4 linked regions of the Tamandua tetradactyla genome follow. The protein of the gene in region 2 purifies or fractionates together with the protein of the main gene of each other region. This does not show direct contact. Links are inferred from orthologs where the notes say so. Each region holds a gene or a part of one and is shown on either strand. Other genes may lie near its edges. The genes, in order: ARID2, BCL7C, SMARCD2 and SMARCD3.

Region 1 (7,312 bases), on a different chromosome or scaffold from region 2:
CAATCCCATAAATATCAGGGGTAATTTTAAAATATAGATTTTAAACCATCTAAAATCTAAAGGATAAATCTGATGAATAAAACTAGAACATGTATTTAGCATCATTCCTCTCAATATTATATTGGGATATTATAATATTTCCATGCACAATGGAAACGAGCAAGTGAATGTCACCATAAATACAAAATTCTATACTTCTCACCCCATTACAAAATCAAGTTTGAGCAATTGACATTGTTTGTAAATTTTGCCCTTTATTTAAAAATATACTGAAACACATGCCATCACAAAAACAAAACAAACAAAAAACAAACAGCAACTAACCCTACTTAATAGTTTCTAGACTTCTGTATAACTCAGTAACTACTCCACAAAGTTCTGTGAACTCTTCAGCTTGAAGTCTGAAGTCACTCTAAGATAGCCAATAGAAAGTGCACCTGTGCAAGTTCTGCATTTCCTATTTCAGAATGCTGAAAATGACACACAATAGTAACTGTGTATTTTGAGCAGTAATAAATGCAAAACCCAAAGTATGCAGAAGCCACATTACAAAAAAATAGCCATTGTGTAAAATCACTATTAAAAAACAATAAACCAAAGGGTATTATTTTAGTTTTGAATAACAACCACCAACTAAAGGACGCTCTATGGATAAACAAACATTAAAAAGAAAAGATGACATAATAAATTACAACATGAAAATATTCCTAGAATAAGCGGGAGGACAAAAACCCCTAAATCACAAAATCTATCACATACTAACTGAATAAGAAATTTACTCTGCTAAATAAGGAGTCGAAAAGAGGGAAAATAAAAAAATTCCAAATCACATCACACGTCACAGTACCCCTTATTTTCCTAAACATATAATAATCCTTTTAAATATTAAGTCATTCAACATTTTGAGGAAAGATAATTCTAAAATCAATCCTGGTCACCTAAGGCATCAACATGTTAAATGTAAATACCAACTTAAAAACTACTCAATGGCATGGTTGTGTACTCAAGGTTTCATTAAAAAAAAAAATCTTAAAGTCATAAAAAGGTAAAAGAGTTTCCAAAACAAAGAAAAAATTTTCCCAAGGGATACAAAGTTTCATTAACTATCTTAACTCTTATACTAAGCATCACCTTTCTGCCCCTTGGTGGATATCGAACAATCAATAACAATGTCACAAAAGAATATTTACCAAGAGTGGGGGTGGGGTGTCACCTGTAAAGTTTTCATATGAAAAATGTAAACAATTCTAAAATAGGTGAGGAAAACTTGCACCTTCCTACAATCACACTTTATTGATAATGTTTCTTCGAATGAAATAAGCGATTAGAAACTGTTTTGTGTGCAAGGCTTTGTTTTGTTTTGCTAAAAACAAATTTCCCCCCTTATTTCCAAATACTGTTAAAGAATCACTACTACTTACCGCAAGTAATACTGTTTTAAAGCAAAGGCAGCGTTAGAACAACTTCTGGGAAAGTTAAACTCTTCAACAATTTCTCCCCACTGATTCTTCTCAGAAACCTGTTAAAAACACAGGCATACTTGCTTGAAACTGCACAATCCAAGAAAACCCTGACTTAACTATGAAATAAATACCCATTCTACAGAGATCTGGATATACCTAAGTCTTCGGTGGTTATTTCGGTTCGAGCCAAAAGAGTTACTATGCAAGAGCTGTGTGAATCACTGTTTTCACCAGAGAGCCCCGTATTTAATAGCACTTGTTTTGTTTGGGGGGGGGTTTGGTGGGTTTGTTTTGTTTTTGAAGCCCGGACAATAACCAATCGCAAGTCCCTCTGTCGCCCCCTTTTAAATCTCAACGCGGTCCGTTTACACTAAAAAAAAAAAAAAAAGTTCAAAAGGATCAATACCGTTCCGGACAGCGACGTCCGCGGGTTCTGGGGGGGGGGCCGGGCCCGGGGCCGATTCCGATCCCTCTCCCAGATCTATCCATCTCCATAGGCCCTTCTTTGAGGCCTACAGCTTCTGCCTAGCCTTGAAGCCTAAGATGGCTATTTGGAGACAGGTCCTGGTTTCTTTTGTTAGCCGTATAAACCGAGGGCGACTGGGCCGAGGCTGTGCCCCCGGCTGCCGAGATCATTTCGCAGCCGATTATCGATGTTAAACCTGCCCGCGCTAATTTTGAGTTGCACGAAAACTGCTCTCAGAGTCTGTGTGTCTCTGTGTCTCCGCCTGTGCTAGAGCGGCAGCGGCAGCAGAGCTGACGAGCGAGCGAGCGAGCGAGCGGGCAGGCGCGGGCGCGGGGTTCCGGCGGGCTCCCCGCTCGCCCGCACTCCCCGCCGTGGCGCGCCGACCCCGCCGGGCGGGCCAGGCACCCGGCAGGGCGCGAGCCGGCGCCGGGCCGCCCGCCCGCCGGAGCCCCGCGCCCACCGCGCGCACGCGAGCCACCAGGCCAAAAACAGCCCCGCCGCCGTCCGCCTCGGTGCCACCGGCTGAGAGCGAAAAGAACGCCTTTTGCCCCCGCGAGTCAACCCCCCCAGCCCCGAGCGCCCACTCCGGGGTCAAAGGAGACTTTTTGGAGGAGGCCAGCGAGAGGGAAATACAAATTAAAACTTCCACTCACCTTCGCGAATCCGCCTAAAGTAGTGACTCTGGTGTAGAGACCGTGAAGATCCAGCTCCTTCCCACCCACCGCAGGGATTTTTTTAAAAGGCGACCTGCGAAAGAGAGAATGCCCCGCACTTGTCAGCCGGGACCCCACACTCGGCCGGGGCGGGAGAGCCCCGTTCGCCCCGGCTCGCCCGGCACTGCCCCCCCGGTTCTGCTCTCACCCTCTGCTGTGGTGGAACTGCCGCAGCTCGTCCAGGAAAGCGAGTCCCTTTCTCCGCTCGTCCGGAGGCGCCTTTCCCGTCGAGTTTGCCATTATTTTTTCAAAGGAGGTTTTTAAAAAAACCAGATCGGTGTTTTAAAAGCGTCCCCCGCTCCCTGCGCTTCCTACCAGAGCCCGGAGCCCATTCCTCGGCCGGCGGCGGCGGGGCTCAGTCATGGGCCGGCGGTGGCGGCGGCGGCGGCGGCGGCGGCGGCGGCGGCGGCGGCGGCGCAGGGAGGGAGGGAGGGGGAGGAGGAGGAGGAGGAGGGGAAAGAGGGAGCAGGAGGCCAGGGGGAGAGGAGGGAAGGAGGGAGGGGAATTTCTAAAAAAGTTTAAAGAAATCGGAGCGAAACTAGAGGGACAGGCGAATGCCGGATCCGCGCGAAGCCGCGGGGCGAGCGCGGCCCCCACCCCCACCCCTTCCTTCCCTCCCTCCTCGCGGCCCGGCTCTCGTCCGCCTCAGCGCCGCCGGCCCAGGCGGCTCGGCCCAGGGACGCGATTCAACATGGTGCTGCTGCCGTGCGCGCGCGGGCGGGCGAGGGGAAAGGCGAGCGGACGGTGAGGAGCCGGGGCGGTCAGAGACCAGGGAGTTTCGGCGACCGCGGCGGCGGCGGGGCTGGGGCAGGCGGGGCTGGGGGTGGGGAGGGGGAGGTCTGTGTGGTGGTTTGTGGAAAGCGGGGTGACAGCGTATATTCCGGCCGCGGCTCCGCGGGGCCCTCGCACACATTCACGCGCGGCCTCGGCTGCGGCGGCCGGGGCGTCCTCAGGCAGAAGGCACCCGCGGCGGCTGAGCCGCTGCGCGCCGCCCGCCTGCTTCCCTCCCCGCCAGCCTCCCTCTCTTGTCGCTGCCAGCGCCGCCGCCACGGCCCGGCAGCCAGCGCCGCACAGCGACCCCCGAGGGCCGGCCGCGGCACTGCACCTGGCTCCACACCGCCCCGGCAGCTCCTCGCGGGGAACAATAGACTCGGCTCGCCGGGCTTAGGGTTCATCTGCAATGTGCCGCACAATTCACACGCACACAAAGCCGACGGAAAGGGGGGCGGCGCGGAGAAACGGCCACTACCGGTTGTTCAGGGTTAGGGGTGGAGGCGATGTTCGCGTCCCCGACCCGGCTATTGAAGGGCCGCCTGGTAGTCACTGCCAGTCGGACCGAAGCGGTGAGGTGCTCCGGAGGGAAATGAAACTCTGAGGGACAGCTCCTCAAGCTACGCAACATTCACAAATTGGAATAAAGTCAATTTGTTAACTTTTTTCCCCCAAGTCTAAAGGAATCGGCTTTTCTGAGCTTCATATCAGTATTCTGGAGCCTGGTTAGCACATTTTCCATGAATTACCCACTAACTTTAGCAAACTATACATTCGGTGGAATGCTCTCAATTCATATCATCTTTCGTTGGTTTCACTTATCAAAGTAGATTAATTCTACAATCATAGTTATAAAACAGTAAACTGGTTGGGATGCAATCTTTCGAACTTTGATAACGTTTTTATTTTCATATTAAGACATCTCAAAAACATATTTAAAATATTTTTCCTTGCTTTCTATCAAATTCCTTAAATGCAACCCTTGTTTAAAATATTTTGAAGGCTTAAAAAAAAAACTTAGCTTAAATGGGAGAATCAAACCATTTCAACAACCACCACTACCTAAGTCTATATTTACAGGGGGTGTTGCAGCCGGCCCCTTGCTACAAATGCCAAGTTTCACAGTAGAGCAACGTATTATTCCCATTTTAGTGGTGGTCACTACGGACAAAGTCCTAACCCAAGGTAGTTTGTGTCTGGAAGGATTATTATTCCAGGTAGTCCAATCACGCCGATGGGAACATTTATTTGGTGGTGAAAAAAATTATGTAATATAGCCCAGAATGCTATGCCTCTGGTGCTCACTTTAGGAATCGGGATTATTTCCCAAGAAAAGTTTCTCTCTTATAATGGGTTCGAAATAAAGCTGTAGCTAGGAAACTCCAGACACCCCAGGGCCTGTGGGGGTGGGTGCGGTGAACCAGCCAAAGGAGGTCGAGATGCTGGGCAGTGGCCCAGGCGGGGAGTGGGAGTGGGAGTGGGGGTGGGGTAGGAGGGAGAGACCCGGTCATCTGTCCCTTCCCCCACCGCCGGTCCTCTTAGGGGTGGTGGAGATGTGGGCCGCAGATCTCCGCGGCCCGGCTGTGCGGATTCCCTAAACGTCGCACTTGCTCACGGCCCCTTACGTAACTGTCAGCGCCGGGGATTCCCTAAAGGGGGTCATTCTATTCAACCATTACACACACCCAGGGCCCCTGCCGCCGCCGCCTCACAAAATGGCGGCGCCCATAGAGGAGACAGCAGTCGCTTCCTCTGCCCCATTTTGTGGGAGGCAAGAGACCCGTCAACATGGAATACCTCCGCTGAGGACGCATCGAGTTCTGAAATCTTGCTGAAGGGATGGAGCCAAGAGGATCTCCTTGGTTGGGAAATGCCAGCGGCTTTTAGCACCTCTACGCTTTTTTATTTTTTCATTTTCTCGAAGGAAGAGTCAGAAGCCGCCGGCGTAATTGTATCTGATGGGAGAAGGGAAAGCTGCGGCTGCCTGCTCCAGAGACTCAATAGCTTTGATTGCTTTTCCACATTCCTCGGCAGCAGACTGCGATCCAGTGGAGGGTCGCCTGGGCAGTCCGGCTGTCTTGTATGGGACGGGAACGGGGCGCATGCGGAGCGGACAACACCGGGCCTTGGCAGCGCCACTTGTGCAGACTTTCCGGTAGTTTTTAAATGCTAGGGATCACGGCCCAGTCTAGTCGTCTGAGTCGTGAGCTTCGGGAGTCCCGGAGGCCCCTGGCCTGGGAACTCACGTTTGCGCCGGGAGTCGGGTTGCCGGCGGCGGGCGGTGCTGTCGAATTCCGGTGGCCGAGGCGCACCGGGTCATTGCTGACCGGCCCCGGGCCAGGGAAGGTGCTAATGGGGCTGGAGTGGGAATGAAGGCATGTACGCTGAAATTTAAGTCTTCCGAGTCAGGATTTAGGGTTGTATGTTAGGTTAAACCTTAGAACGTTTTTCTAGTACCAACTATTCAGTGAACGGTCTAGATTTTTTTTTTAATTTCTATTTCGAAGGACAAAATGGAGACATTTTATGTTTTTACTTTTCAAGGAGAGATTGCCACTTTTAAACCACTAACTGCTATTAACATATGTGTATGTAGACACATGCGTATACAAAAGTATGTTTTGCTTTTCAGCGCAGGATAAAGATTTGGAGTTTTAATGTATCTTAAGAATTAAGATTTGATATGAATTGTTTTTTTATAAGAAATAAAAAAACTGCTTTTCTGTAGAAGAGGCTGTCATCGTCAAAATGGAGTCCTTATGTATATCTGATAGAATTTAAATTCCTAACACTTGGACATACTCTGGTCAAAGTTTTAAAAACAGAAACATAAAACTTGATGTTTATCTGATCGCTACCTGGTTTAATTTCCCCCGATTAGAAAAATGTAGGACGAAGAAGCTAAAGAAATGTAAAGGTTTAAAGAAAGACGAGATTCATATGATAATACTTAAATATGTATTGCATGCATAATTGATTTTGTGTTGTTTTCCATTATCAGCAATCATTTGTGTTTGCATGACTCTTTTGACTGAGGTGTTTTTGTTTTTGTTGATTTTGACCCTCTATTCCTTTCTAATGCAGAACTCCAGCTTTCTGCTCCCTCCACCTCCATCACTAAGTTCCACGCCCCATCTCCTGCAGTACCCCGTTGCTACTTTGGCTTTTGGATCACTAAGATATAGTTTCTGGTCCTATCTGTTCCTACTGATGTCCTTTATATTTAATATGGTTACCACTAATCAGTCTGTGACTTCGAAAAACACCCTATCTTAGCAACCAAGTCGCCAGAGAGTTTTTGTTTTGTTTTGTTTTTTTTATTGGTTTGCACAAATAGTAACCCTAGTGCATAGTATTATATTTCTTAGTACCATATTGCATTTCCTATAGTGGGCAGCATAGAGCAGGTGGATCTTGGGAAGGAAATGTCAGAGATGTACTGGCAGCTTTACAGCAATAGATATTCTCCAACTTACTTGATAAGATATGTAATTCATAGTTTTCAAGTATTGATGAAAACTATTCCTATAAAAAATTACCAATAGCAGTGAAAACTGTTGAAATTCAATAGTATAATTTACTGTTCTGATGAAAAATGACAAGACTTTATGGTAGGAAAAATGCAAAGCATTGGTTTTAATAGTAACTGCAAACCTTGCACATCATAATTACAGGTTACTGTTATTTTATGTTCATCTTTGATTCTTGTAAGTTTCGCTATTATTTAGTCAAGAAGTTGTGATTACAAGTTCTCTCACTCAACTACACTTAAAAAAAAACTATACCCAGTATCAAATGAAGCATGTTAGATTATCACAACTGCAGAAACAACTTAATTGAAGAATTGGTATGTCAACTAATTAAAGAAATTTTGGGCTCTTAGGTTACTCTGAGGTTTA
Region 2 (7,323 bases):
CAGGAGCACAGACCAGTTGGGGAAAACAAACACAAACGGGCCAGTCACTTGAGCCGGAGGGCCATGGAGCACTGAGGAAGGAGCTGTGAACCTGCAGTCCAGGAAGCAGCACAGAGGAAGGAGCATTTGTGTGGGATGATAAGGGTGAGAAGGATTTGATCTGGCCAGTGGAAAGGTGGGACACGTTTTAGACAGAGGGAACACATGCTTAGCAAGCAGATTCTGGGGTTAAACTGCCTAGGTTCAATTCCTGACTCATGGGCAACTACTTCATTTCTCGGGGCCTCAGTTTGCCCATCCAGAAAATGGGGATGATAACACAGTTACTACATGAAGTTGTTGTGAAGATTCAATGAGAGAATACAGGTAGCGCCCTCAGTGCAACGAAGTAGGCAGAATCCACACACAGGCCCAGGCCCAGAGTTCTCAGAGGAAGACCATGAGGTCAGCAGGGGTAGTTCATATAGAGCCCTAAATGCCAAGCTGAGGCATCAAAGGCCACAGGGAGCCATTGAAGGCTTTGAAGCAGGGAAACCACTGCAACAAACCTGTGGGTTAGAAAACGTTGCCCTGATAGCTTTTTTTTTTTGTATGCTGTATGGCAGGGGTCACATTAAATTCTTTTTTCCACATGAGTAGCCCATTACTGCAGCACCATTTGATGAATTTTTGTGTTTTGTTTTGTTTGTTTGTTTGTTTTGTTTTGGGGAAGTGCATGGGCCAGGAATAGAACCCAGGTCTCCCATATGGCAGGCGAGAATTCTACAACTGAACTACCCTTGCACCTCTCCTGGCAGCCTTTTGAGGTGACTGGAAGAGAGGAGACCAGGGCAGAGGAGAGGAGATCAATGTGGAGGCAAGAGCCAGAGTGAGTAAGAGATGGAAGGCCAGGGCCAGGCAAGGACTGTGGAGGAGAGGAGAGCAGGGATGTCTGGGAGGTGGTACTGACCAGACAGGATTGACTGGATGAGTGAGGGGATGAGGAGGACCCATGCCCAAGACACTGGTGCCATGGCTGTATGAGGTTGGGCAACTTACTTCACTCATCTGGACCTAAGTTTCCTCATCTATGAGTGGGCATATCTACATCATGAATATGGGGTAAAGTGCTTAGAATGGTGTCTGGCACATAATAGGAGCTCAGTAAATGTTAACTATTATCTTCATCTTCATTATTAATTACTCATGATTATTGCTATTATTTAATCACTCAACAAATATTTATTGAGCAAATGCTGTGTGCCACGTGGTGGTCCATAGCTGTAGTAGTGAACAAGATCGTTATGGACCCAAGCTTCATGAAGCTGACAGGTGGAGTGGGGGAGAAGGGCATTAAAGTAATAAAAAATTAAATTTATGTGAAAAGTTCACGTGGTGATAAGAGACCTACAAATCCTAAGAAGCCAGAGGAATGAAATGGACAGTAGCTAGAGGTAGGTGCTGACTTTCCACAGGAGTCAGGGAAGGCCTTCCAGAGGCCACACAGGAGAGGGAGTAAGCATGGGTGAGTTCTGTTTTGAAGAGGACAGGACCCAGAGGAGGGATCCCTGAGAAGCACCTGGTCCTACCTCTCTCCTGGCCCAGCCGTGGGGGCTGAGTCTCTTCAGGAACCCCTTCCGGGGGTCCAGCAGGTGACGCTGGGCGGCTGGGCTGGGGAGTGCCACCAGGGCTTGGCTCTGTGCCCTTTTGCAGGGAGCCTTCTGAATGGAAACTCTGGTTGCTGTTCTCATCTGTGAGATCAAGAAGCCAGGAAGGTTGGGCCCGAGGCCCCCAGTCCCTTCACCCAATCCCCACAATTCCCCCTGACCCCCCAGTCCCAGAATCCCCACATACCATTGAGATCAAGCAGGATGAGAGGGCCACCCCCTCGGGGACTGGCACCCCTGCCCCGCCGCTCCCTGCCACGGGATCTCTCCGCCCCGCCACCTGCCCGGCGTCGCTCCTGGGGGTTAGAGGAGTAAGGGTCAGAGCCCCAAGAGGCTTTCTAATTTGCAAACCTCCCACTGAACAGTAAAGAAACTGAGGCACAGAGAAGCAAAAGGCTCTGCCTTAGGTGAAAGAGGTTGTGTCCACTGGGTTAGATCCTGAATGTGGATGTCTGGAGCAGGAAAAAAGGTATTGGGGGGGTGGGGGAAGGCTGGGGTCTGCCTAATAATCATTACCATCTGTCTGGGCTGCTACATTTGAGGTCTCAGAGCGAGAACTGGAGGTCGAGGCCAGGATGGGGAGGGCCTTGTCTGAGGTTGCACAGATGCAGGGGCTGGGGGCTTGCTCACCTCCTCCTGGGGGTCCACCACTGGCACCCACTTGAAGATACGAAGGGAAGTGTCACCCACAGTCACCCAGCGCTTCTCCCTGTTGGGGGGGTGGGAGTAACTGGGTCAGAGAGGCCTAGGGGTTGAGACCCCCAAGATCTGGGGGTACCTGCAGAGATTGGGGAGAGACAGCTTTGCTAATGGGGCATAGTTTGGGGGAGAAAAAGAGCCCTGTAGACCCCAGAACATAGATGGGGGTGCACAGAAAGGGTATGGCCTGTGACTATGGCCCTGCAGACCCTTGGGGCATATGTAGGGGTACAGCTGTGAGCTTAGCTGGGAATGGGGCAATAAAGATACTGGGGCATGTTGGGGGAAAGAGGTGTAACAGTTTTAGGGGGCGGGGCACAAACGAAGGCCCATTCAGCCGAGGCCGGCTGGTTACTATCAGGGGAAGAGCAACAGAGCCCTGTCGATCCGGGCACAGCCGGGGGACACGCCTACCACCTGGAGGCCACAGCTGGCGATGCGAGTGTAGACACATAATGGGGCGGAGGCCCCGCCATGTCCCGTTCCCGGCCCCGCTGCAGCGCTCACCATCTCCGGACCTTCTCAATGGTCGCCATCACCTTCTTGATGTCATCCTTGGCCCGGCTCCGGGTCTCGGCCCGCACGGTCCGGCCGGCCATGCTGGCAGGGCTGAGGCCCGGCCCGGGCCCGCGGCGGAGCCGCCTCCCGTCTGGCGGGCTCAGGCTCGGCGCCAGGCCGGGGAGCCGCTGTCTCCGCCTGCCGTCCCTCCGGGAGTTGGCCGCGCCCTCCCTCGCTCCCCAACGCCTCCGCGAGTCCCCGCCCCGCTTCCTGCCGCCGCGCCCCGCCCCGGCCCCGGAGCGGCCCGGTGGCGCGGGCGGCCACACTGGAGGCCTGGAAGCCCGGCCCGCCCCGCCCCGCCCCGGGCCCGCCCCCTCGGGACGCCCGGACGCGCAGCGCCCCCTGCCCGCTGCGGAGAGGGAGAGTTGGGGAGTCGGCGCCTGGAAGCGCGCGGCCGGGCTGAGGCGGTGCGTTCAGGCCACGTGGGTGCCGGGGTGCGCGCGAGTGTCCGTGGCCCGGTGTACGTCCGCTGCGCGTGGCGTCCCTGAACACGCTGTGTTGTGTGCATGTGTGCGGCCAGCCTGAAGGAATCTACCACGCTCGCTACCCAAGTTACTGAGTGCCAACTACGGCGCCACCCACCAGAATGACTAAAATGAGAATGACAGACCTTAGCAAGTGTAGGCGAGGAAGTAGAGCACCTGGAACTCTCTTATATTTCTGGAGTGGGGGGCGGGAGGGTGCACAGTGTCATTTGGTAGAGCCGCTTAGAAAACTGACAGTTTCTGGTGAAGCTGAACAGATGCCAACCCTATCTGTGATCCAGGGGTTCAACTCCCTAGGTTATCAGCTTCCAAAAGGAAATGCCTTGGTATGAGCACCCAGAGACGCGTACTGGAACGTTCATAGTACAGTTCATAATAATGCCAAACTGGAAACAGCCCAAACGTCCATCACCGGGAGAATGAGTGAAAAAAAAAAGTATCCTCTTCATACCATGTCATACAGCAACAACGTAATTGATGTCCTGTTGCACCCAACAATGGAAACAAGTCCCATGAAGGAAATCTTGAGTGAAAGAAACCAGACACAGTACAAGCTGTATGGTTCTGTTCAAAAATCCACAAAGGTATATTAATGGGGTGAGAAAACAGGATAATTGGGGGATGTTGTCTGGGAGGGCTTAAGTGGGAGGTTTCTGGAAGCTGGTCATGTTCTGTTTCTCCATCTGATGCTGGTTCCCTGGGCGTGTTTACTTTGCGAAAATCCATTGAACTGTATGGATATGTGCAGTTTTCTGCCTGTATATTATACTTCCATGAAAAGTTTACCTAAAAAAAAATGAGTGTGTCTGTTGGTGTTACTTGAAGTTATTTGTCAGGAAGTATGACCATGTCTAAATTTGTGTTTTGTGTGTGTGTGTGTGTGTTTCCAGGTCGTGGCTGTTGGATCTGAGTTCTGGTGTTGCTGTATCCAGAAGGATGAAGGAATAGTAAGGTTGTTAGGAAAGCATCTCTGGAGGCAGATTGCTGAGGTGAATTGCTGATCTGAGGTGAAATGCTGGATAAGCCATGCATCTTTCTATACCTTTATTTCTCATCTATAGAATGGGGTGATAATATTACCTACTTTATGAGGTTATGAGCAATAAATAAGTTAATGCACGTATAGCACATAGTAAACACTCAATAAACATGAGCTATGAATAAGTGGGTGCCTGAGGTTGCTACCAAGCATTGGCCTCAGTTGCACCTGTTGTACCCTCTGCCAGTTAATTCCTTTCTTCCTTCATCCTGGCCACTGTCTGATTATATTAACATCCTCACAGAAACACAGGCTTTGTTTACAATAACCCCATTGCCAGCTATTGTCATTGTCCTTGGTCACGGCACAGAGAACTGGTATGGATCATCTCTGAGTCCCAGGGCCCTGGACAGAGTAGGTCTTTGGTAATCATCATGAAGATAGGTCAGTGTGTGCAGACCTTTCAGGGTTTGTTTGCACCAGCTTGGTGAATTTGTACTTGCCTCTAAGGTTTGTTCCTGTGGAAGAATGAGTGGCTGTATGCATTAACCCTTAAGTAGATGCATGTGTATGTGTCGGTGGAGTTCTGTCTCTGGGCCTAGTGAGGAGAGATGAGATGGGGTATCATCTCCCTCCAGGTAGGTGTGACAACCAGAATGTGTTTGAGGGAGGGGGAGTCTGGTTATCAGCATGACAATAAGGTTTTGCAGACCAGGTGGAACACATTTAAGATAGGGCAAAAGTAGTATGTCTGGGCATGTGTGCCCCAAGCCCTAGGGTTCCCACCGCATGGCCTCCTTCGCTCCACCCAGTGTCCTCACACTGCCACCCAACCTCAACTTTGCCCTAAGAGAGAAGGCCTGCACATTCTTGTCCTGCCAGCCCAGCACCCTCCCTCTCCTTTCCCCCAAGCTTTCCCCAGAAAGCAACCCCAGCCCCAGGCCCTGTCCCAGGTCGCGCTCTAGCCTTCTCCCTCCAGAGGGGCGCAGGTCCCAGTCTGTGTCCTCTCAGGTCTCGGTCTGGGTCCGGAACCCACCGTGCCAACAAGCAGGCATCCCTCTTGGGGCCCCTTCTCGGAAAGTCTAAGATCTGAGCTCAGGGCCAAAGAATCCTGCCTGGAAGGGGGTGGGGGGGAAGGTTTGGGGTCTGGGCCCTGATTGGCTGCGCCCGAACCACGCCCCTACCCCTTAACCCCTTCTCCCCCCACCTCACCTCGGAAGGGGGGCGTGGAGGGAACCGGGATCATCCTGGGGCCAACATGAGCCGGAGGGAGGGAAGTCTGGGTAAGGGGCTGAGTGGCCTGACGCCGGGTTCCCGAGGGGAGCAGGGGCCAGAAGGGTTGGAGCCGGGGTCAGGGTCCCCGCCTCCCCCGAGGCTGGGAGGGCAGCGACCTGGGAGGAGGAGCGCGGGGCTCCGGTGTCTGGTAACCAGCGGGTGAGCTGCCGGAAGGGAACGGGCACCAGAGTTCATAGGAACCTGGGGCTGCGGTTTCGGGAACTTGGGCTCAGAGGCCAGACCACCGGTTCAAGTCCTCTGTGGGGAAGTCTGGCGTCCAGACTAGGGACTGGCGCCTGGGTTCTTTCCTCTGGGTCTTCGGAAAGAATCAGAGCTGGGAGGCCGAAGGGAGTGATAGAGTTGGGAGGGAAAGGCTTTGGGCCACAAGAGATAGTGAGTGACGAGGCAGCTCAGTATCCGTACAGGCGGTGGGAAACTCAGGCGGGGGCGGGGGGGAGGTGCCGGGCTAGGACTACATCCCCCAGCATGCATCTGGGCGCGCTAGGCATCTCGGGAAAAATAGTCCTCTCTCCCGTTGGGTGCCACCCTCTGGCGTGTGTCGCGCAGAGCCAGCCGCCGATTCCTTGATGCCGCCCAGTACCCATAAGAAGGGGGTATAGGGGGATCAAGGAGAGAATGGGACTTAGCTTTCCCGATCTGTAAAATGAAGGGCTTGTTTCTTAAAAGCCCGTACTGATTTGAAGTTCTGTGCTTCAATGGACGTAAAATTCCAACAGTCACTAACTAAGGTCACTTTCCCTCAGTTGGTATAGGACAGACCCTGCCCAGCCTGAGAGCTCTGAGGACAGGGGTTCGGGTTGCCCTCATTCCTCCCTGCCTTTCCCTCCAGAAGAGCCCCGGGCTGACTCCTCAGTCTCACCCCTTCCTCACCTGGAGGCCAAGATCCGACAAACACACAGCCTTGCCTGCCTCCTCAACAAATATGCCGAACAGTTGCTCCAGGAGTATGTGAGTGGGGGTGGGCATGGGGAGGGGGTATGCTGGGGGTATCATTGGAAAGCGCAAGAGCCCAGGGGTCCTTGACCACCCACATTCTCAGCCTTGCTTCTCAACTGTGGAATCAGGGTCCCAAGAAGAATAGTAATTTGTCTCTGGCCACCCAGCAAATTGGAGGCGGCCCCTATCTGTGCCCCACATGCCCCGCCATCCTCCTCAGCTTGGAGGCTCCCTTGGTTCTGTAAATCAGAGGCAGAAGTCTGGATCACAGGTTCTAGACTCTGGGTGATCTCATTGACTCAAGTCCATAGGCCTTGGTCTCTCCAGTTGTAAAAGGAGGCGACTGAATAAGATGATCTGCGAACTCTTTGCAGGAATATTCAGAGTCTAAGAAGGGGTTTCAATCTGGGGCAAAAATTCCATCTCAAGAGGGCACCTTTACAGAGAATGGGGATCCCCTAATATGTTTGGGAAGAGGGTAGATATTTCCTCATGTACATTGTTCTGAAGGAAGGATATAATTTGGAATCAAGCCTGTCAACTTGCTAAACTGACATTGGGTAATCATGGTAACATTAAAAAAGTAATATAGCAATTATGACAGCTGATACTGGGATAATAGAGATAGAATTAGCTTTGTAGTACTCTCAACACTGGTTCAAATTTCAGCTCTGCTGCTTCCTAGCTGGACCACCTAGAACAAGTCACTGTACCTCTTTAGCTC
Region 3 (7,785 bases), on a different chromosome or scaffold from region 2:
CTCCTGGTGGCTGGGACTAAGGGCTTAAGTGAAAGGAGAGCATGCCCACCATGAGCAGAAAGTATATGGAAGTCTCTGAGGTGACACCAGCAATCCCTGCTATATGTGTATGTGTTTTCTTTTTCTTTTTTTCAAGCTCTCAATTGAATGTGATCTACAGCTAGAGCCACTATCTGGAGGGAGGTGGGTCATCACTTTCCTTTTTTCAATAAGTTTCCCTATTTGCCCATTTCTGGACCTCAAATCCCCACTCCTCAGGCTCATCTGATGAGCCCTAAGAGTCAAAAAATCCTTTTGCTCCTCAAATCTTAAGTCCTTTTTCCTGGAGGTCACACTGAACATGGAAAGAGGACAAGCAGATCCTCCTGTTCCTGAACTCACCCGAAGTAAGCTGGGTTCTTCCTCTCCCCACCTACCTCTTTTTCTACTCCCTAGAGGAGAAGGAGGAGGAGGAGGTGATGATAAGAAGCTGATGGTGAAAGCGAGGGGTAAGGGGTATGGTATGTATAACCTTTTTTTTCTCTGTTATCGTTTTATTTCTTTTTCTGTTGTCTTTTTATTTCTTTTTCTAAATCAATGCAAATGTTCTAAGAAATGATGAATATGCAACTATGTGATGATGTTAAGAATTACTGATTGTATATGTAGAATGGAATGATATCTTAATGTTTTGTTTGTTGTTAATTTTTTTTAATTAAAAAAAAAAACAGCTGATGGGATGGGAAGCCCTGGGAAACAGAAGGTCAATGCCATCCCCTAGGTCCCCACCACGAAGCCCAGGAGACCCACCCAGCCAGCTTGGCTTTGTCACAGGCCCAAGACCACTCCCCACAAAACATCCTTACAGGGGCTTTCCCAAGGGCATACTTCCCATGGGTTGTATGCCAAGGGAACTGGAAAAATCCCTATCTGCTTCCAGGTCCCTCCCAGGCAGAAGGCCCACAGGGAGACTCACACCCAGGTCTCAGTGAATAGGTCCAAGGGCTGGAATAACTGATGTCGGGACTGTTCAGGGACATCCTTGACCCCTGAATGCCCAAGGGGGAGGGTATGATAGGAAAGATAGACCCTAGCTGGAGGGTTTGGAACCAGGTCTATCTCTGTCCCAGACCCAGATCTTTTATTTTATTTGGGGGGAAGAAAGAGGATAAAAAGTGAGAAACATCACTGTCCCCAGTTAACCATCTCTTTAGAAATTGAGGGCCATGGGGCCCTGGTGGAATGCACACTCCCTACTCCATGAAGCTCCATTTCTGGGACCTCTGCCCAATGACTTGAGGAGCCCCAAGTCATTGGGGCTTTGGGAGAAGCCAGCACCGAATGCTGGGGCACAAGAGTTGGGATATGGCATTGTCAGAACATGAAGGCTAAATGGAAGTGCAGGTGGCCAAGACAAGGACAGACACAATTTCCAAGCATTCTGGTAATAACCTGAAACAATGGACTAGGGGGCTGATGAGACCCACCAACAGGGTCCGGTAGAGTTCTTCACACTGACTCTAAAGATTGAGGCTTCTCAATAGCCTTTGGAACTGGAACCTGAGAAGCTCTCTTTCCAACGCTCAAAAAGGTCAAGGCAATAGGACCCTTTGAGGCAATTCTCCCAGGATCCTCGGCCTTAGACTGGCAGGGTTCAGTGGAGCCGCTCTGCTCCTCCAGACTAATCAACTCCTGGACACTATGGCAATAGGCAGGAAGCCAAAAAGAGAGTCTTCCAGGAATGGTCTGTCACTGGGCTGGGCCTCTCTTCTTCCTCAGGCCTGGCTGCCACCATCTCTGGTCTTGGGATATCCCCAGTAAACACTCTACTCTGACCCAGGAGTAGTGTCTCCCTCTGCACAGGGGTGAAATCCCTTACTCTAACCTCAGCCTCCAGGGACAGTGAAGTCAGGCCTTCCTTATCACTAAGCAGCTGGGAGCCATCTCAGACACAGTGGGCCAAGGGGACAGGGGATGCTAGAACGCTGCCAGCTCCCAACCAGAAAAAACAAGACAGACTTGGGGTGCGACCAAGGCCAGTGTAGGGTAACTCTGGTTGCTCAGTGAAGGCCCCTGAGACTCCCCTTTTCCAAAACTTTCTCCTCACTTCCCAGGACCTTTATACGCTAGGATCTACACTAGACTTCTCAGAACCACCCACCCACACACCATTCCTCCACACAACTGCTCCACCTCCCAGTTACCAAGTAGAGTCTTTACCGAGGGAAGGCCCCAGGCCCTCCCAACTGTTTCAAACGTTCCACCCCCGAATCCCTCTTAAACCTTTCCCCAAACTCCACCACCATCTAACCGCACCCTGAGGGTCCTTGGCCTTGTCTTCCACCATGTCCCACGAGCACCTCATGCAGAGCCTCTGTGCCTTTGCCCAGCAGGCTTCCCCAGGGCCTCACCCGGGGCCCCCGCCACCCCTGCCCGCAGCGCCCTCGTGGATCTGCTTACCCACCCACCCTTCTCACCTGGTACGGCGCTGCAGGGCCCGCGGGCCCCATGGGGCGGAAGGCGGCGGTCCCAGGGCCCCCCACGCCTCCAGCCGGCCCAGGTCCCCTGAGCGCTGGTCCAGGCAGCATGCCGGATCCCGCGGGAGGAGGCGGCACCCCCAGGGCCGCGGCCACCGCGCCGCCGCCGGGACTCAGTGGGGGCAGCGGGAACCCGCCCGCGCCACGGCCCGACATCGCTCCGTCCCCTCCGCGGTGTCTCAATCCGGACTCCGGGCTGCGCGCCGAGTCCGCTCCGTGCTCCGCGCTCCGGGACTTTCCGATCTAAATTCCGGATTCTGCTAATCCGGGTACTGGGGTTTGTTGATCCAGGTTCCGGGATTTACTAATACAAGTTCACGAGTTCCTCACTGACCGGATTTGGGCCCCGGCCGATACTGATTCCGATCCTGTCTAAGAAACTCCGGATCCGGGATCTGCTACGCACCAGCCTGCAGTCCCCGGCCGCCGCAGGTTTGGCCGCGGGAGTCCGGGGGCCTGCAACTCCTCACCCCGCCCAACCCCGACCAGCACCAGGCCCCGCCTATGCCTAGCCGCCCAATGCTTGGATGCCTCCTCAAATCCCGCCCCTCGCGAGAACCGCCCCTAGCAGGCACCGCCCCTAACCGCCAGCCCCGGCGTCCCGCCCGCAGCCCTTGATCCGGCCCTTCGTCCGAGGGGCGGGAGGGGAGACGTCGCACTGAATCGCCGAGGAAAGCGCGAGGGTCAGAGATCGAAGGTCATGAACGACTTCAAGAGTGACTGAAGAGTGAATGGGGGAGTACTCTAGTGTTAACCGCCTTACCGAATTGCCCGACCATATTCCATGAAAATAGTTTGTCATGTCTCCTTTTTACATTTTCAACGTAAAAGAACTCAACCGAGAGCTGCCCTCTGGGGCAGAACAGGCTGCCAAGTCCATTTTCTTAAAAAGCCCTTCCTGGTGGCCCGGAGCTGCCAAGGGATATCGGTGGTTCCAGACCCCATCCAGCTGTGTGAATGGTTTGCTTGGCCAAGCGTTGAATTTTTATCGCACATTTTAAACATGGCTCTGCCTCACTTTAAGGAAGCCTACTATTTTATTCCACATAAATTTTTTCTAGGTGAAGGAAATTTGCGTTATAAAAAACCACCCTGGAGTTCAATAAGGTGTTTCTCTAGTTTTCTTTAACACTTAATTCTCAAGAACTCAACACCTTTTCAGAAACTACTGTCTTGTCTTAGTAGGTATTAAAATTGCTTTTGGTTTCAGCTGCAACAGGGAGCCTGCCTTGGTGGTCTGGGGTCTCTTCACCATGTTACAAATCCGCGCATCTCAAATTTTGAGCATAAAAAACGCGTGGGGTTTGTAGATTATGGTTCATTACGTCTGGGGTAGGTCCCAAGATTATGCATTTGTAATAGGCTGTCAGACAAAGTGTGCTGTTGGGACCACACTTTGAGTAGCCAAGATAGAGACTTTCACTATGTGGCCCTCTAACCTGCTTTGTTTTCATCTCCAGCCAAATGATAGCTTCCCTCCGAGCATCAGGGTAGCCCAGATCCTAGTATGGTACACTCCTTCAGTGCTTTTTAGAAAGGTATGCTGATCTGTACCTCCTTGTATCTTTCCTCCAGTAATAAATCTGGCTGCTGCTGTTTTCCTGCCTCTTAGTCCTCTCAGAGATCCCGCTCCTCATTCTCCTGAAAAGTTGATTTACCTCCCAGCCTGGGGACATGCCACAGGAACTGTCACAGCTCCAGTCATTGAACCATGGCTCCTCTCCCCAGCCTGTAAAGTGGATTAAGAATTCATGATGAGGCAGATTACGTTGTTTACTTCGAGTCTTTCAAGCTTGTTGAACAGTTCTCAACAAAGTGGTGGAGAATCAGAATCTCCTGGGGAGCTATTCCAAAATATTCCTGCCTCCCTTCCATGCCTACCATTCAAATCCAGTAGGGGCTGTGGGAGGAGACTCCCAGTATTACATTTTAAAAATAAACTCCCCAGTAATTCTGATATGATCCTCCTTGTAGAGAACCACTACTCTGGAAAAGAGGCAAGCTAATAAATGCATTTAAAAACATAAAATAGGGCGGTGCGATGGTGGCTCAGTGGCAGAATTCTCTCCTGCCATGGGGGAGACCTGGTTCATTTCCTGGTGCCTGCCCATGTAAAAAAAAAAAAAAAAAAACAGATAAAATAGTTAAGTGTAACCAGATCCAGTTAATCCTCTGCCTGAACTCTCCCTAGTTCCCCGTGCTTAGATCGATTGCCACACTCCCTACCATGCACATAAGGCTCTGCAGGATTTGGCCTCATTTTAAATCACCGCCTGGTGTTTTCTAAGCACGAGCCCCAATGGTACTCTTGCAGTTTCTCAAACTGGCAAGCCGCTTCCCACCTCAGAATCTCTACTCACAGCTCTTCCTTAACTTTTCTAAGCTCTCCCCTTACTTTGTTTACTTCCCACATAGTGATTATCACAATGTGTAATTACTTATTTAAGTATACTCTGATTTACTATTGATCCGGCTCCCCCACTACAATATAAACTCCATGAAAGTGAGAACTGTGCCTCTCTTGATCAATGTCATAAGCCACTCAACAAATGTTTGTGAACAAAGGAATGAGCTTAAGTGTAGTGGGAGAAAATGGTAAACATATACAGCCAGAAATGAGTTAATTGCTGTGAAAAAATATCCTCAAGGAGCTGGGAGGCAGAGATAGCGGAGGGATTAAGAAAAATTTCCTAGAGGGTAGACTCAGAGAATAGCTAACATTTATTAAGCATATGTGCCTGTACGTATTAGCTCATTTAATCTTCAAAACGTATATGAGGTAGGCACTATATAGGAGATAGATATAATTTTTACCTCTATTTTACAAATTGAGGCAGAGAGATTCAGTAACGTGCCCACCCTCACCATGATGGTGCTAGAATTCAACCTGGTTCCAATTAGGCTCTAGAATCCACAACCCAAGCAATTAACCATACATAATATTTATTACCTCTGTTAACAGTCATATTTCTAGTCAGTTATTACTTGCAAATAGTGTTCAAACTAGAAAGTAAGTGCCTTGGGGACTCAGAGAAAAGGGAATTGATTAGTATCATAATCTGGTCCTGATTAACCAGAAAATGTTTTCTGGAGAATTTTGTTTCAAAGAAAATACCAGAGGTAGTCACTCAACAGGCAAATAGGGTTTGATATCTCCCCTTGGGACAGTTCAGGAACTTGTGAAAAGAGGTGATAAGTTACCTCTGAAGACCTGATAGAGATGGGAGAAAGGGAGAGCACCTCACAAAACCTAATGATGCAGCCAATTTCGGGACTTGAAACCATGGAGGCAGCATTCCTTTGTTCCCAAGGCTTGGAATATCTTTTTTGCTTTCTCCTTTCTTCCATCAGTATTTATTCTTCTTACAGCCCACGTTTTGGTGATTCAGTTAAACAACTTTTATTGAGGCCTCCAATGCTCCTAGTCTTATACTCTAGAGGATGGGCTTTCTTATAACTTGGCCCTCCTGACCCTGTTGGATCTACAGATGCTCAAAGAGACTGAAATGGAAGTAAAGTATTTAATACAACCAGAGCCAAATACAACAAAAGGACACTTCCCAGTGTGGACTCTGTGGTTCCCTGTGGTGGGAAAAATAATCCCCAAAGAGTTCACCAAAGAAAGACATTGGGAACAAGATGGCCTAATCCGTCCCCCAGAGCAGGCCAGCAGAGGATCACTGCTCACTATGGAGGTCCCTTAGGAGGTCAGAATTTCGGGAGAAGCAAGGCAGATAGTCAGGTCATGGCAGAAAACACTTGCCAAGATCCAGCCTTGCTGGGGTCATACCAAGAGCCTGTCTCCATTGAAGCATCCACCTCCCACATGGATGTGGTGGTACAGCAGGCCCTGGGCACAGCCCAGCCAAAGTGGCAGAAGGGCTATATACTACGGTAAAACAGCCTATTTAGCATTTGAGAAATATTTACAGCATGTGAGAGCAACTTCCATATGCCAGTCCTTGACATAGTCTAGTAGAGAAGATACATGTATAAATAAATAATTTCCTTATGTGATAAAGATATTTACCAGGTGCCATAGGAAAACAGAGATGGCTTTAATGGGGAAAGAGATTAGTGAAGGCTTCCTGCAGGAGATTATATTAAGGAGGTTAAGAGTCAGTTAGGCAAAGGAGAGAGAATAAGGACTGAAGCCAAGAAATAGTACATGGTGAGGAGAATTAGAATAAGTTTGGCTGAATTGTCAAGTATAAGACAGGGAGGAGCTCCTCTGTGTGCACATTATGGCCACATAGTTTAGAAGGTAAAATACCTGAAGACTAGAGACTTCCAATGGTGGGAGCAGGTACTTGTACATAAGAAGTAGGCTTCAGATCAACACTCTGGAGCCAAGGGCTGGGGCATGATTCTCCAATTCATTCTCTCCCCAGAGAGAACCAGAGTTCCAACACATTCAGAGACCTGGGTGACACTGTGGTCTCAGTGGCCTCTTCCTGATCGCTTTGGAAGTCACCTGAAGAACAGAATACTCTGACATCAGACCTGCTCAGAGGTGTCCTCCTGGTTCTCGAATTTGGACCCAGAGCTGCTGACAGAGCTAAACAACAGGCTACTAAGATAGAAGAAAGATAAGGAAAGGAGTCTGTACAGGGATCTCTCCCTCCCTTACTGGTCCCTAAATACCCATAATACCCATGGCCTTGTGATTCCATCCTTACCTCTTTATTGTCGAGACAAACTCATCTACTCCCATAACTTCAACTAATGCCTATTTTCTGATGACCCTAAATTTCTTAATTTCAACCCTACGTCTCTCTTGAGCTGCAGATACATTTTTCCAACTCCCTGATAGTTGTTCCATAGGAAATTTAAACCCATCTGTTCAAAATCAATATCTCATTTTTCTTACTTCCAGTCTGCCTCTCCTCCCTGGGCTTCATCTTGGTTAAGCCATGAAGACATGGCAAAAGGCCAACCCTGCCTTGCTGAGACATTCAAACTGGTCTTGCAGGCAATGGAAAGCTAAGAAGATGGAGTGACCCACCAGATACGCAGGGTAGCTGAAACCAAAAGCAAAAAGGAGAATAGAGTGAGCCTTAAGGACCTTCATTCTGCTTTTACTTGAAATTATATTTCACTCCTTCCTCTCCTTCTCTCTGCTCATTCTTAGTCACGAAGCCCTATTGGTGTCACCTCCTAAATCTTTCTTGTATTCATCGTACTGCCGTAAGTCAGGCCCTCAGCATCTCTTCCCTAACCCTTCTGACTGGTTTCTCCAGTTAGGCCATCCTATCCCAAAGCCCCTACC
Region 4 (7,124 bases), on a different chromosome or scaffold from region 2:
GTTCTTACACAAGCCTACAGGCACATGGGCGCTGCTCCAGGTCTTGGAAGAACCGTGGGGACAGCCAGGGGGTTGGGGGACAGGAATGTGCCATGATACCCCTTGTCCGATCTTTCAAATGCCCTGTCTGGAGGCTGAAGGAAACCCCTCACTTCAGGTGGAGGATTGGGGTGCAGGCCCCCCACACTTCCAGGAGCTGGGCATGGAAAGGTTTAGGCCAGCTTTGGGTCAGAGCTACCTCTGGGTGGTTTAGTGATGGGGATGAGAAAGGGTTCTCTTTCTGCTGGTTCTAGGCAGAGCCTAGAGGTTTTAAGAACGAAGAAATGCCAGGGGCCAACCTGAGAGCTCCAAGTGGTCTCACTTTACACACGCACACACACCAATCAGTGAGGCTAACTTTATCCAATTAAGGAAAGCTATTGCTGGGGGTGCAGGAAAAGCGGTTGGTGGTGATGAGTCTCACCCTGTCAGTCCTTTCCTCCCTCAGTCTTTATTTCCTTTGTTCCTCTCTTCCCCTCTCCCTTTCTCCCTTTCCCCCTTCCCAGCTTCCCTTCTCTCCTTGTAGTCTCCCTCCTTACATTCGCTCAGCCCCTTCTCCTCCCCCTCCCCCTCCCCCTCCCCCAATTCCCTGAGCTCTGTCCCAGTAATGGGACTTCCCCAGAAGCCAGGGAGCGTGCGGACCCAGGGCTCAGGCCCTAGGCCTTGGTGGCCATCTTCCCGAAGGGAAGGAGTTAAGTCTTTCCCCTGCATCCCTCCTCCCCCTCCAGCTCTCTCCGCCGCCTTTGAGTCCTGCAGCTAGGCCCTGGGCTGACCTTCACCGGGAGGGAGGCCGCAGTGCGCATGCCCAGGCCGACTCCCGGCCGGCTCCCGCAACTGCCGGGGGACCCCGCGGTTGGGGTGGAGGGGGGCGGCGGCTGCCAGGCCGGGACGCGCCCCCAACACTGCACACCCGGGCTGCCGCTGCCGGCTCTGGCGTGGTTCGGGAGGGGGTGGGGGAGAAGGCAGCCCCAGCCCGTCCCGGCAGGCCGCGGCTACATCCTTCTCCCTGCGTGGAGAGAGGCGCTTTGCCATTTGGTGCTGGTGGTGCTTCAGTGAGGGAAGGAGAGATGGGGGGACGGCAGGGGGGACTCCGGCTCTGGGCTGCCGAGAGGCAGCCCAGGCGAGCCCGGAGCCTCTGTCCTGGGTAGACAGGCAGTTGGCCCTCTCCTTAGACACACACAGGCACTCTCCTACCCAGAGCGCTACTTGGGCCGGACAGGGAGTGAGATCCCCGTCGGACTGGGAGGAAGGGCCGTCTCCCTGCTTGAAGCCGGGCTTTTCCTGGGCCTGTGTGGAAGCCGGCCGCGTGTCCAGCAGTGGTGACTGCTGGAGCGTCCTTCTGGGCTGAGCTGCTGGGGATCCGGCCTTTGTGAGGAGGGAGCCCTGGCTGGGTGTGCCCCAACTGGTGTCTCCGCCCCTGCTTTCTGCTTTCTGGTCTGAAGACTCCCCTGAGCCTGCACACCTCTGGTCACCTTTGTAAAAGCGGCATGTAAACGTGTCTGATGGCGGTGCCTTGTAAATTCGGGCTTTGTGAGTGTGATATGGAGGTGGTCAAGGTGTGCCTGTGTGTGTCAGTCCTCTTGGCTCCTTGTCTCTTTGGCATTTGCATTAGCATGAGTGCTTGGTGTGTGTGTGTGTGTGTGTCTGTATGCATCATGTATTTGTGGTTTGTGCAAGCTTAAGGATCTCTCCCAGAGGGGTGGCAAAGCCAGCAGGGGGTGTGGAAGAGGTTGTGATCCTGGCATGGCCCAGGAGGGGTTTGTCTGTGGAGGTGAGTGACACCTATCACCTCCTCCATCTCCTAGACTGATGAACTGCCTATCCTTGATTCTTGATCCCTGGGGTCTCCCCAACCCCTTCACAGGTGCTGGGGGGCTCCCACCTTTGTTCATGCCCCACCCTAATACTTCCCACTTGCCCAATAGGGAGTGCCCATCCCATCTCCTCATACTCCCTTCTTTTCCTCAAAAGGTCTCTTCCAGAGTTGAGAACTTTGAGCTTTACACAAAGTCTGGAGATGTCATACCCTCTCATCCCCCAGAACCTCCACGTCCTGTGGTCTAGCTTTCTCATGCTAGAAGTTCTCACAGGGCCTGGGGGTGGCTACAGTGACTCTCACACCCTGAAGAACAAGGCAGAGTGTGATCTTGGTCCACTGAATTTTTAGGTGGTTTTGAGCATCATCAGGCATTTTTGTATTATTGAATCCTGGTGCCCAGGCATGGGAGTGAGAGGCCAGTTCCTTACTTTACAGAGCTGTAGCATCACTGAGGAAACCAAACCTAACACACATGGAATGCAGGGCACATCAGACATTACTTAATCCAGTGTCAATTCATGAGGCAAAGTAGATGAGCCATGGGCAATCAGAGAAGAGAAAGATCAGGGATGTCTTCCTGGAAGAGGTGGGGCCTGCACTGGAAAGGATGGGTATGATTTGGACAGGCCGAGGGGAAATGGAGGGCATTCCAGGCAAAAAGAATACTGGGAGCAGAGGGATGGGAATGAGTCTGGGGTTTTGGAGGTTAGTGGGAGACTGGAGCAGAGAGAAGGGTGTTGCTGGGGTGTGGCTCAGAATGCCCCACTCCAGATTACCAGCAGCCACCTTTATGGGTGATGGCGGATGGAGGCAACCCACCCACCCAACCCAGCCTGCCAGGGACAAGACATTCTGTGTGTGTGGATTTGGGGTGAAGCCTTGGAAGAGATTTGGTAGGAAAGGGATCTCTAGGACTCCTGCCAAGCCTGGGGTGGAGGACAGGTGTCCTGGACCCAGATGCTTTCTGTGGCCTGTTGGGGGCTTGACAGTGGACACACATATGGACAGAGGCACCCAAGAGCACAACCAGGGCCCAAGGGAAATCAAGCTGGGCAAATACTCCCTTGGTTTTCCTTGTCCTGAGCTCTGAAGGCATTCTGAAGGGTTTGATGGTCAGGACCACTTCCCACCTCCAGTGTAATACCAAGTCTTCAGGACCTAACTTCAAAGAAGTTTTCCAACCAACCCTCCCAGGCATTGCTCTAGCCTCATGTGGATTCTGGCAGGGCCGCCCCTAGAGGCCTGTCAACTTGATAGGCTGTTGTCCCAAAGCCTGTGGGACCCACAGAAAGGAGAAGAGAGGGTTGTGGAGTCTAGGGGCGTGGGGGGGGGGGGCGGGTTCCCCTCCTGGGAAATCAAAGGCTTTGTTCTTCCTGTTTCCTGCCCCTCCTCCAAACCCCGGGCTGCCTTCTCCCTCCACACCACCCCTCCTGGGGTTCTCTCATAACCCCAGCCTCTCCACCCCAGCTTTCTTTGGGGTCATGAGGCTGCCCCCACCATACCCAGCAGCCCCAGCTACTCCAGGTCCCCCACCCCGCACCCAAGCCCTCCTTGCCTCATTCCTGCCACCCACCCTTCTGTGCACCCACCCCCAGCGCCTTCCCTCACATTTTCTCTCCCTGTTGTCATGAGCTTGATCCTTGTCCCTCTTTCCAAAATATTTCCCCTATTACCCTCACTTTCTCTCAGAGAGACAAAGACTCATATACCCAGAAATAGACTCACAGAGAGCTGAAAGACATAGGCCCATGCACATACATACACACACACCAGAGCCTTTCATAGAGAGACACACAGAAAAGGCATCTGTCTGTTGTACACACAAATAACTGTCCACACCCACAGCCACAGAGTCTTGCCCACACCAGGACACAGACACACGCAGCCATGGGAGACAGGGTCACATACATCTGGGGAGAGGAGGACATCCGCCTGCCCAGGCATACCCCACCGCTGCTCCTCACCCTGGGGCAGGAGGGAAGGCCTCCTCCGGGCTCAGGCTCTCCCCAGATTCCTTGCCAGTGAATGTTTCCGTACTTGGCCTGCCAGGTCCCTAGGGAAAGGGCCTCAGAAATGCAGCAGGAGCAACTTGGTGGGGGGGGGGGGATGAGTTGGAGCTGACTGTTCCCTGCCTGGCTCTGCCGGTGAATTCCCTAACCGAGAAACTATTTGTGGAGAAAGCTCCGGGTGGCCGGCGAGCCCCCTCTGCCACCTCCCCTCCCCGTCCCCACCCCCTCGCCAGCCTCCCCGGGCCCCTCCAGCCGGCCTCCGGCTGCTGTGCTGCTACCCCAGCGGCCAAGGAGACAGTATTTTCAGTTTGCCTCCCCGCTTATCTGCGCTGTTTGGACAGCCAGCTTTGAAAAGGCAGGATTTTCTGTCCCCGCCGAGTAAACAGCCAGACCCCGGGCAGCCCGGACTATTTCTGTCTTATCAGTGCAGGAATGCGGCAGCAGCGGCGGCGGCGGCGGCGGCAGCGGCAGTGGTGGCAGCAGCTGAGCAGGAGTGGCGTGGGCCGTGGGCCGTCAGGGCAGCCCTGAAGGGGCCCCCTCCCCACTCCGCTCTAGTAGAAGTGTGAGAGAGCCCAGCAGGACTCAGAGGGGAGAGTTGGAGGAAAAAAAAAAAGGCAGAAAAGGGAAAGAAAGAGGAAGAGAGAGAGAGTGAGTGAGAGGAGCCGCTGAGCCCACCCCGATGGCTGCGGACGAAGTTACCGGAGGGGCGCGCAAAGCCACGAAAAGCAAACTTTTTGAGTTTCTGGTCCATGGGGTGGTGAGTGGGGGAAAGTTAGCGGGGGAGGGTGAGTGAGCTGGCTCTGGCTGAATGGAGGGATGATTGGGAGGGGCCGGGAGGGCGCTCCCTTGCTCTCACCCCTCTAGCTGGGGGGTGCGACGGCCCACGGCCCAGCCCCAGGATTGTGCCAGTGCCCCTGGCACCCGAACACGTCACCAGGCGGCTGGCAGGGGATGGGTGTGCAGGCGGGAAAGGGAGAAGCATTTGCATGGGTTCTTGTCAGGGGCTGGGGGTGGGATTTGGGGACTATCCCAAGTGAGGGGGCCCCCTCTGAATCAAGCATGTTGTCTTCTATTCTTTTCCTTGTGGGCCCAGGTGTTACCTCTTCCCCATGGGGGGGTCGTAGTGGGGGGCATGGCATTGACTGGGCTGGGCTGTCTGGTCATAGGTTGGGATGGTGTCTCTCTCTGATTGTGCCCCAGGAGCAAGGAGCAGGTGACCCTGGAGGCACTGTGAGTGGGAAACTCTCTGGCATGAGCAACCGCTGCCTCCTGACAGGGGAGCAATGGGGCTTTGCGGCTGGCCTCTGCCATCAGGCTCAGAGAGAGGCCCTCTGTAGGGACAGACCTCCAGCGAAGGGGTCTGAGGGTCCCTTTGGCAGAGTCAGTCACCACAAGCTGATGTTCTCAAAGCCTCAAAGGTGTGAAGGAAGGGCTAGAGATGGGGATATGAGGCCTAGAGATCAAAGGGACAGAACAGCCCTGTCCTGCCACAGGAGGCTGTGAAGGCATTTAGGGGGGCTAAGGGAGACCAGGGAAGGGGACACTTGAGCTGAGTCAGCAGAAGACCAGGTTAGGAGAGCTTGGGGAAGGTTGTGGGAATAGGGTGGGGATGATTCAGGCACTGGGAGATGGCAGGGGCTCCAAGATTTGGGATAGGTGATAGGGATGGAAGCAAAGTATAGAGGAGCAGTCAGGATTATTATGAACAAATTTGGTTAGGACCCCAAAGCCAGTACCTTCTCAGTTGAGGGTGGCCAGTCTTTAGAATCTTAGCCTTCTGTGAAGTAGCCCTGATGGCTGGCACAGTTTTCTGGGGGTCTCTTCAGCAGATCAGTGGATATCCCTGGCCTTGATCAATGGGGAATGCACCTGATAGGGAAGAAAGGGCATCCCTGGGGCAGCCTGTCCTCCAGCTCCAGGGATCTCTGGGGGTAACTTCCCAAGGGTGTGTGTGTGTGTCCACCAGCCGAGTTCCAAGTCCCACCCTTGCTGCCTGGGGAGTCCCTTTAAAATGACCCATCTAGGAAGGAGAGAGGCTATTAATGTGGATTTTTTGTTATATGACCAATTCAGAGATTCAGTTCTTGGGTGGCCGAGAGCCCCACAGCCCTACTCCCAGGCCCTGACCTATGCTGGTGGGGAATGGTTGGGTCTGGGCCCCATTCTGTTCTGCTACCCTGGAGGTGTGAGTGACAGGGTCAGGTGGGGTGGGGGAGGCAGACACATGAACCAGCAGGTTTCACTGCGGGAGAGATGGGCTGTGACAGCTGGCTGGCTGAGGGTAGGAGGGGCATTAGGGTTAGGGAGAGTTGGCATTTGGAAGGGGAACCTCAAGCCCAGGGTTCAGGCTCCTCCTTGTGTCTGGTGGCAGCTGTGCTCCCGGGGGGTGAAGCGGGTACTGTTTAAATGATAACAGGGGCAAGGCTCCTTCCTTGCTCTCCTTGTCCCAGTCTCCATTCCACCCACTCTCTTCCTTACAGCCCCTCTGGCCCTGCCCAATCCCTCTTGTGGAATCTGGACAATTGGGTTTTAAAAGCCTGCGGAGCACTTAATTTGGACTCGTTTGCATCTCATTTACATCCCATCTGACCACCCAGGGATAGTGGCAAGAGAGTGATTGCTGCCTCATCTCCTTCTCCTTGGCCTCTTTTGAACCGTCTTGTGGCTTGCACTGGGGGTAGTAGTGGGAAGTGGAGGAGATCTGTAAGGATAGGGCCATCTCTGGTGAGCTTGGTGGGTGGGAGGGGAGGGAAAGATGTAAGATCTAAGGCTGGTGCTTTGACCTGCCCAAAGTGTGCTTGGCATCCCCCTTCTAGGCCAGCTTTCCCCACTCCTCCCAATCACAGAAGGGTCTGTCCTCAGCCCGCAGCTTCTCACAGCCGAGGTTGCCTCCTGCCCTACCTCCAGCCTTCATCTTGGGAGCAAATCATGGGTGTGGGCAAAGTTAGTGAGGCTGAGGTACCTGGGTATGGAGACTTGGAATCAGCCTAAAGGGAATGGTGTTTGGGGTTGAGGGGTCAAAAGCAGGGGGCCCAGAGAGATGAGTGGGTTGAGATGAGAAGAAGTAAATGCAGTGCTGATCAGCCCAGGAAGTGAAGAATAGGAAGGAGGGAATAAAAGGAGGAACAGCAGAAGTCAGAGCAAGGAGCTCAGCCCCTAACTTGAATGAAGCAGCAGAGAGCAAAAAAGACTAGGTCCTGGCAGGTATTGCCTTTGCTAGGATGAGCTGTGTGACCTTGGTGACGCTGCTTTTCTCC

The links.
Region 1: the proteins of BCL7C (region 2) and ARID2 purify together in Homo sapiens (affinity purification with mass spectrometry; 3 studies listed by BioGRID and IntAct, counting the BioPlex papers as one, with this or other methods). This does not show direct contact. The link is inferred for Tamandua tetradactyla from reciprocal best matches to the Homo sapiens genes BCL7C and ARID2.
Region 3: the proteins of BCL7C (region 2) and SMARCD2 purify together in Homo sapiens (affinity purification with mass spectrometry; 3 studies listed by BioGRID and IntAct, counting the BioPlex papers as one, with this or other methods). This does not show direct contact. The link is inferred for Tamandua tetradactyla from reciprocal best matches to the Homo sapiens genes BCL7C and SMARCD2.
Region 4: the proteins of BCL7C (region 2) and SMARCD3 purify together in Homo sapiens (affinity purification with mass spectrometry; 3 studies listed by BioGRID and IntAct, counting the BioPlex papers as one, with this or other methods). This does not show direct contact. The link is inferred for Tamandua tetradactyla from reciprocal best matches to the Homo sapiens genes BCL7C and SMARCD3.

The regions. Positions count from the first base shown.
Region 1 is NC_135333.1:105,665,427-105,672,738, reverse strand, and holds the start of ARID2 (AT-rich interactive domain-containing protein 2), read right to left. Parts: upstream 3,020-7,312; 5' UTR 2,883-3,019; coding exon 2,791-2,882; intron 2,677-2,790; coding exon 2,583-2,676; intron 1,520-2,582; coding exon 1,422-1,519; intron 1-1,421. UniProt on the Homo sapiens protein: Involved in transcriptional activation and repression of select genes by chromatin remodeling (alteration of DNA-nucleosome topology). Required for the stability of the SWI/SNF chromatin remodeling complex SWI/SNF-B (PBAF).
Region 2 is NC_135349.1:23,599,666-23,606,988, reverse strand, and holds the start of BCL7C (B-cell CLL/lymphoma 7 protein family member C), read right to left. Parts: upstream 3,008-7,323; 5' UTR 2,945-3,007; coding exon 2,853-2,944; intron 2,356-2,852; coding exon 2,277-2,355; intron 1,943-2,276; coding exon 1,834-1,942; intron 1,731-1,833; coding exon 1,569-1,730; intron 1-1,568. Other genes in the region: CTF1 (cardiotrophin-1), read left to right, coding at 5,626-5,650, 6,493-6,611. UniProt on the Homo sapiens protein: May play an anti-apoptotic role.
Region 3 is NC_135332.1:5,011,495-5,019,279, forward strand, and holds the start of SMARCD2 (SWI/SNF-related matrix-associated actin-dependent regulator of chromatin subfamily D member 2), read right to left. Parts: upstream 3,012-7,785; 5' UTR 2,673-3,011; coding exon 2,457-2,672; intron 1-2,456. UniProt on the Homo sapiens protein: Involved in transcriptional activation and repression of select genes by chromatin remodeling (alteration of DNA-nucleosome topology).
Region 4 is NC_135327.1:195,192,473-195,199,596, reverse strand, and holds the start of SMARCD3 (SWI/SNF-related matrix-associated actin-dependent regulator of chromatin subfamily D member 3), read left to right. Parts: upstream 1-4,118; 5' UTR 4,119-4,546; coding exon 4,547-4,624; intron 4,625-7,124. UniProt on the Homo sapiens protein: Involved in transcriptional activation and repression of select genes by chromatin remodeling (alteration of DNA-nucleosome topology).